Linked DNA regions of Oryzias latipes. The protein of the gene in region 1 interacts with the protein of each later gene in a pairwise test. Links are inferred from orthologs where the notes say so. Each region holds a gene or a part of one and is shown in the gene's direction. Other genes may lie near its edges.

Region 1 (4,408 bases):
GAACATAAGAAAGGAATTTGAAAACAGTAAAAAAGGCATTCACTTGCAAAGATTTACCCCTCATTATGAAGACATTCAGCAACACTCACCCTTTTCTTTATCTACTCGGATGACAACAACGCACTCGTTGCGACCTATGCGGATGAGCTTGTTGATGGAGCGGATACGCCGACGGGACAACTCGCTCAGGAGGATCATGCCCTCAATGTTGTTGTACTCCAAAAGGCTGACGTACGCGCCCATCTCTGCGATGGAACGCACGTTCACCATCACAACATCCTCCACCTCTGGAAACCGGTGCTGATAAAATCGACAGCTGAGCCCCGGCATCACTGTCGAAAAACATCAAAAATCAAAACCGTGTTCAAATCTAACACATCTTATGCTAAAAAGAAACATTTTCATTTCATTGTTCAGCATAAATTCATTCTTATTTATTTTCTAGTCAAAGTTTGAAGAATGTTAACAGAATGGTGAGCTCATTTGGGTTTTTGTGATATAAAGCCAGATTGAGATGGATTTAAAATGAGGTACGGTAAACATATAAAAAGGAGTACTGAGGTTATAATAGCTAAGATAGAAGTTTATAGGAAAACTACTAAGAAAAATACTGACTGGATTGCATGAAAGTGGATTTTTAGCTCTGGTAAACACAGCAAAAAGAAAAACCATCTGTTTGGGATGAACATTTAAATGGACCAATCAATATGTATCTACTTTTTAATCAGTCATATCAAGAACTTGTCAATTTAGTTTGAATTGCCTAAAAATTTGAATTTCTACCACCATAAAGTAGAATCTAAGATCCTGTAATTTCCTCTAGGAAGTGAAACGATCTATTCTTCCATAACACATAATGCTATATTGTTAAAATATATCTAGTAATGTTCTAATAAGGCTTTAAATATCCATTATTTTCGTTGTTTCATATTTTAATAAAAATGATGCAATGCGGACAAACAAGCACGAACAGAACCAAAACAAGGCATTTATCAAACGAGTAAAAGGTCACTTTGACTACTTGAAAGTGCCTATCTATGCGCAATCAATCACAAAGAGTTACGATATTTATTTAAACACAAAAGGATTGACTTAATGCGTGCTAGCTGCCTGGCTAACCACCGGGTTCACGTGTGGCGCGTGCAATGTAGCTGCGGCTAACTGCTAGCCAGCTAGCTGTGACTACCGCCTGTTTTAACGCTAAACATCGAACTTCTTTTCTGTCAATAACAACTCACCTGTGTCGTGGGCTTACAGAACTACACACTTGAATGTTATGTGCTCTAAATATTGGTTCCCTCTACTTCTTTCAGCTAATTATTTGAGGCCGTTAGCTCGCATTCATAGGTGGACTAGCTGCTCGACCCGGAAAAGATCTTGAGCGCTTATCGCTTCGCGCATGTGCAGTGCGAGCTTGGGGCAGTCACATGACCAGAGGCCAGCTGATCATCACGGACGAACAAGATCACGGCAGTTACCTTAGTCTTTCAACTAATCCCGAATGAAGACGGTTGTTTGTTTGTCTGTTTAGCACATTTTTATACAACGCCCCGTTTTCAGATCGTATCCTGCAAAAGCCGAGAAGATGTCTGGAAAAGAAAGGATCGACGTTTTCCCGTCCAGGATGTAAGCACCTTGTTTTTCTTGCTAGTTGCTAACTCACTTAGCTTAACTACATTATTTCATTGATTCATTGGGTTTTTAGCTGATTATCGGTTATTTGTTTGTGATTGATTCTTACATAAACGTGTTTCTCACGTATGGTTTCGACTTTTCGTGCTGTCTGGACGCTAAAGAGGAAGGAGCCGCCTTGTGTGTCATGTGATGCTTCCAACATCTTGCGTTGGTCACTCACAGGTTTTTCTGTCTGAAGAAACCTGTTCCAGTGCAAATGTTGCTTTAGCTCATACAAGGGGACTCAAATTCGTGTTAAATTAGATAGTTGTTTTTGAGATTAACAAATACCGAGAATTTGGTTGCATTTCAAATTTAGAGCTTGGCGACTCTTTTCCAGACCAAAAAAAACGTTAAATTTGTGTGTTTGCCCTTCTGTCAGAGTTCTAATAACATACCTACATGACATCAGAGCAGAGGTTTGCAACCTGAGGTCCCTGAGCCACAAGCAGCTCATTTATTCTTCCATTTTGGCTCTTTGGCTTTGAAAAAGCAGGCAGATGTCATAAGGTTTAATGTGTCAGAGCAGTTTTTTTTTTAGAATAAGTGTAAAGCACATATTCTTATCTTCAGATGCACAATATTGTTTTCTTGCTGTTTAGTGACAAAGTTCTTATAATTGCAAGTAAAGGTGATGCAGCAGGAGGAGCGTATTTGACACTCACATGTATTTTATTTTGAAAGGATCGCGTACGTTAAACGTTAGTTATTTACAAAAAAGATCTTAACACTGTTATTATTCAATCCTTATAAATATATAAAAGCTACATTTCATAAATGAATGGCTCAACAATCACACAAAATGTATATATATATATTTTTATCAGTAATGCAAAACTTAAAAAAAAAAACCTTTAAAAAAAAAAAGGTGCGGTGATGCCCTACTTTTTCTGCTAGTCCTGTGTTCAGACTTCAAGGGTTTCTATGGGAAACCTTTTATCACTCTTGTCCTTCTCTCCTCTTTGAGAAGCATGCAGCACGTGCACACTCTATCTACACACAAACACGTGCGCTGTTTCAGAAACACACACACATCCTCATTCTACAATAGAAGTTTCTGTCTTGCCAGGAAATACGACAAATTTACTGCGTTCTAATTATTCCTTTCCATTACAAGCTGCGTGCGTTCTTGAGTGCGTGACACGGCGCCCGCCGGAAGATTTTGTTTGTGTGTATGTTTGTGTGTGTGTGTGTGTGGGGGGGGGGGGGGGGGGTGTAACACCAAACATGAACGGGCGCTGTTAGATTTCCATGAATATCACTACATTTTTGTTTGGGAACTATTTTGTGCAGCACATAAATAAGTGTCTGTATAAACAAAGGCGTTTTCTGCAGCCTTGGTCTGTTTGTCTTTCTTTCCTTGTTCAATAGTTCAAATGTTGCAGGTTATTTTAACCCAACAGATTCAGACACAAGTGTTGGTTTTTGGACCCATTAATGGAAAAAAAAAAAAAAGCAAAAACAAGTCAATAAATTCAAGTCTTAGAGCCAGATCAAAAAAGCGGTAAAGTCCATGTGTTTCTTAACATTTTTTTTGGTCACAACACTCCTTAGAAATGAGACAGAATTCTCTGTTTTACTCCAAAATGGTGGTTTTTGCTGTCCTCGCAGAGTAGTCAGGCCTCCTTTGTGTTTTTCAAACAACACAACCCACCTGTTGATCTTGCAAAATGTTTTTTCTGCCTTTATTTTTTTATGACTTTTTCAAATTCTAGATTTTTCTACATTTTAGTTATGTACCTTTGGCGGTTTTTCAAAACATTTCTTGTGCTTTTTATCTTGTACACTGTCTTTAACTATTAGTTTAAAGTGCTTTTGAGTTGAAAAAGAGAAAATATTACTGTAGTTATTTATACATTTTTTGCAAAGTTCTCTTATAGTTGCAAATTTTTTGACTGCAAAAAGAATGCATTAAATGATGTGATATATTATAAAGCACATTTAAAGTGTTTTGCTCTTCTTGTGTATGCAGGGCTCAGACCATCATGAAGGCTCGGCTGAAAGGAGCTCAGACCGGCCGCAACCTGCTGAAGAAGAAATCGGACGCCCTCTCTATGCGCTTTCGTCAGATCCTTCGCAAAATAATTGAAGTCAGTAAAAAAACCAAGTGATAAATGACATCAAAACAGAAATTTTTGTTGATCGATTTGGCTTAAAACAGTCAAATAAGTGACCACAGAGCTTTCTAAACGTAAATATTTCATGTTTTTTAGACAAAAACCAAGATGGGAGAGGTGATGAGGGAAGCTGCTTTCTCTTTGGCTGAAGCCAAATTTGCAGCAGGAGACTTTAGGTGAGAATAGAAATGCAGTAAAATGGGACATCTGGCACATTTCTCCAGCTAAATATATTTACTTAACTCTTTATTATTTGATGCAAATTAGATTTTTCTCATATAATATGCATTTATAATGTGATTTCTAAATGTATGTTTTTAAATGTTTTTTAAACTCGCCGTCCGCAGCACAACTGTAATCCAGAATGTCAATAAAGCCCAGGTGAAGGTTCGGGCAAAGAAAGATAACGTTGCAGGTTAGCTCACGCATCCTCTAATTGTCACCACTCTGAGAAATGTGGATACATTTGTCACATCCTCCGTATTCATCCTTTTCAGGTGTCACCCTCCCGGTGTTTGAGCACTACCAAGAAGGGGGCGACAGTAAGTGGCGTGTTCCTCCTCTGACATGTCTGGTTTAGCTTTTGTGGGAGCGTCCTTATCCTCGCCGTGTGTGAC
Region 2 (3,386 bases), on another chromosome or scaffold:
TATGTTGATGACAACGAGTCATTTCAGAACCCTTACTATTTGATTTTATTTGGTTGATTTTTATGTTTAATAATGTTGCTTTATAATGTTACAATTCCGAAGTTTAATAATAAAGTGATGCACTAACATTGAGCAAGGGCTTTCTTGAAGCGTTTCCCATTGATGTGGATGAGGACATGGCGTGGCTCCCGGTTCAGATGCCTGAGAGTCAACTTACAGAAAAGCTGATTGCTGGAAGAAAAAAAGACAAGTATCATCAGAGAAGACATTCCAAAATCCAAACTATCCTGTTCCATTGTGTGCACTTTTGATCACTTATTGGCCTAACCCCCAAAAATAATTGACTGACATAGAATGGCCTTACGGTTGTTTTGTGCTGGGAATGATATGTGGTTCATACTGGCTGTAGTTGAACTCAGCTCTAGAGCTCAGTTTCTTATACTTTTTCCCTTCAGTGAAATTCTGCAGCTCAGTCAGGTTGCAAGGAAGTTCATGACCATTCAGAGTGCACTTGATCTGCAAAGAAACATGTAAATGGTTAAAACGAGGCGGTGCTGCTGAGTGTATGACAAATATGAGTGGTTGTATATAAAAAATAATATTACCCCCCTCCCCCCATCGATGCGACCAATTACATTTAAAATTGTTAAACAATGCCATTCCACTTAATTATTAGCACTGTGCTAGCATAAAGTTGTTTGGGTGCACGTGTGTCTCAAATGACGCATGCAAATTGTTGCTAACCTTTTTATTATCTGTAAGCTCAAAAAACGGTTGAGTGACGAGAAAAGCTCTGAGGTCCGCAGGTAAATCCTCCATAGTAGTAACAAGAACAAAATCTTCAAAACAAAGTTCCTGGTAAAAAAAATATTACCCTACTCCACCGGAAGCTACATACACGTGGTCATTTGCGCAAACTCAGTGGGTTAAAATAAGCGCCCCCCACTGGTCAAAACCGGGACCGGTCACATATTTTAAACAGAAACAAATAATAATGATAAATAAATCTAAAAAGAAATAATCTGACGTTTATTTTTTCCAATCTAAAATAATAAGATTATCGGAACCTTACGTTTTAATTTAAAAGAATAGCGGGCAAATCAGTAAGCTGCTGGCAAAAAAATAAGTTTTAAATATAAATCCGACTTCAAGTAATAGACATATTTTTTGTGTGTACTTAAATGGAAAGTAGACAATTAAAATCCGTGTACAACTACACACAGCAAAACTATTCAAACATTTTCTAAAAGTCATGTGAGCTGCGTCAGATGACTGTGACAGTTCAAGCACCAAGATTGTTTGAGTAGAAAGAGGCGTCACTCTTGATATATTCTACAAAATTACAACTGTTGTCTACAAAACTAAGATTCTTTATTTTTTACTAACTACTGTAAATACGATATAAATAAGTAAAAATAAAGTCTAAAACCTTTAATAATAAAAACGATGTGCCATCAAATAGAACTGATTTAAAATTATCATTCATTCAGACAATAAATTGGTAGTGAGTCCTCTTACTATGGACTGATAGAACACAATTTATTTCCTGCACTCAATTGGATCTTAAAACAACGTCTGTCGACAACAGATGTCAGGCTTGCCGAGGAGCTGCTGTTAATAACTATTTAAACCAAAAGTCGATCATCTGAAAATAAATTCAAGATAAGTTTGTAATTCTGATGACCCGATGGTTGCAGATCATCGATGCTAGTTGGTTAACAAGCATCTAGCTAGCAAAAGAACAGCAAAGGAGACGTAATCGGTGTGTTAAAGTAATATTGTTCGTGTCTTCGTCATCATGTCTGGACCAAATGGCGATCCAAATATCTCCACTGACAATGGGATTATTGACGACGAGGACGAATTTGGCGATGAGGGTAATGTTTCCGTTCATTGTGATTTGACTAACTGGTTTATTTACACTACAACACCTGTTTTCTGTCGCCTTCTTTTCATTTTTAATTACAAAATTGCCTAAAGTAACTGTTTACCAAAGTGTAGGGTCATCCTCGTACACATTTATCTTGGTTTGACATTGACTTTTAAATGGATTAGCAGGTGGGAAAAAATAGTGCATTCCAATGTAGGTCAAACCTTATTTAAGAATAGAAGAAATAAAACAAAAACTCCCAACTTTATTTAAAATTGCATAAAAATATGAAAAATGTCACAATTTTTTTTTTATATTTTACTGCAGACATCAAAGCTCTGATTTTTATATTTCTCCTCATTCCAGTCTTTGTTGAATCTCCATGTCTTTCATCAGGCGTTAATGTTGGACTGTTGTGCTCCTTCACAGAGTACGCTGCCATAAACTCCATGCTGGACCAGATCAACTCCTACCTGGATGACCTGGAGGACCGGAACGATGCACTTAATGGAAAACTGCACGAACTGCTGGAGTCGAACCGGCAAGCTCGCCTTGAGTTCAGGGCCCAGATTCTTGAGTCTCAAAACCAAGAGGAGCAGTCCATCCAGGGGGGGGACCAATCTGCAGAGCTGTCAGCTTCTCCGTCCAACAAGGAAGAGCAAAATACAAACAAGGGCTCAGAAATTAATGATAAGAGTGCATAGATCTGCTATTTTTAGTGTGGAAAGACAGAGAAGGTGGCTTCAACTCCTAATCTATGCTGAACAAGCTATCTTTAGTCCATAGCAGTCATGTGCTTCAATGGTTTCCCAGATTACATTCCATCTTTTCCTCTTTGGATGATTTATGACACATTGGTAGTGGTTCCTGGTCAGATTTTTACTGACCTGCATCATTTGCTTTGGAAAAAGCTCCCTGCTTTGTAATTATTGTATGCAAATATAAATAACCCAGATGCTTGTGTACTGTTGTCCTGGATTATGTCATTGTGCTGGTCCAGATTGTGCTATTTAGTTTATTTTTGTCTTATTTCGAGTTAATACCCGAATATGAAATATGTTTTTAAGTACAAAAGATCAAAATAAAATGTCAAAAATAGTCAGATGTCTCATTACAGAATATATCTCTAAAAGAACATGAGAACTAACGTTTTCACCTGAATTTATATCATAAATAATTCCCCGGTTGCTCTAAAACTATCTGGTGTTGATAGAAGCCACAGTCATCTTTCTCCTTCACTTCAACACTAACAATTTATTTATTTTGTACTCCAACATGTGCAGGAACTTCATAAAATAGAACCTGTATTTACGGGACAAAATAAGCCTCAAGTGACTAAGAGGACAAGACATGTCAGTGTGTGAATGTGTGAGTGAATGGGTCTGTGAGTGTAAAGCGCTTTGGGCCTTGTAGGTAGAAAAAGCGCTATATAAGTATACACCATATACCATGTAAAAAAAATACACTTTCCTGCCCAATTTCTGTATTTGATTAGTAAGATGACATCTGTTTACAT

What was found.
Region 2: the proteins of atp6v1d (region 1) and c12h9orf16 interact in binary tests that used the Homo sapiens proteins (3 or more experiments, as listed by UniProt). The two-hybrid records come from large-scale screens. The link is inferred for Oryzias latipes from reciprocal best matches to the Homo sapiens genes ATP6V1D and BBLN.

What each region holds. Positions count from the first base shown.
Region 1 is NC_019882.2:5,865,689-5,870,096, reverse strand, and holds the start of atp6v1d (V-type proton ATPase subunit D), read left to right. Parts: upstream 1-1,423; 5' UTR 1,424-1,585; coding exon 1,586-1,626; intron 1,627-3,646; coding exon 3,647-3,764; intron 3,765-3,887; coding exon 3,888-3,967; intron 3,968-4,138; coding exon 4,139-4,206; intron 4,207-4,288; coding exon 4,289-4,333; intron 4,334-4,408. Other genes in the region: eif2s1 (eukaryotic translation initiation factor 2 subunit 1), read right to left, coding at 90-330. UniProt on the Homo sapiens protein: Subunit of the V1 complex of vacuolar(H+)-ATPase (V-ATPase), a multisubunit enzyme composed of a peripheral complex (V1) that hydrolyzes ATP and a membrane integral complex (V0) that translocates protons.
Region 2 is NC_019870.2:12,174,079-12,177,464, reverse strand, and holds c12h9orf16 (UPF0184 protein C9orf16 homolog), read left to right. Parts: upstream 1-1,528; 5' UTR 1,529-1,798; coding exon 1,799-1,877; intron 1,878-2,299; coding exon 2,300-2,574; 3' UTR 2,575-2,833; downstream 2,834-3,386. Other genes in the region: surf2 (surfeit locus protein 2), read right to left, coding at 128-231, 365-516, 745-819. UniProt on the Homo sapiens protein: Essential for intermediate filament organization in intestinal cells, interacts with intermediate filament and regulates intestinal lumen morphology.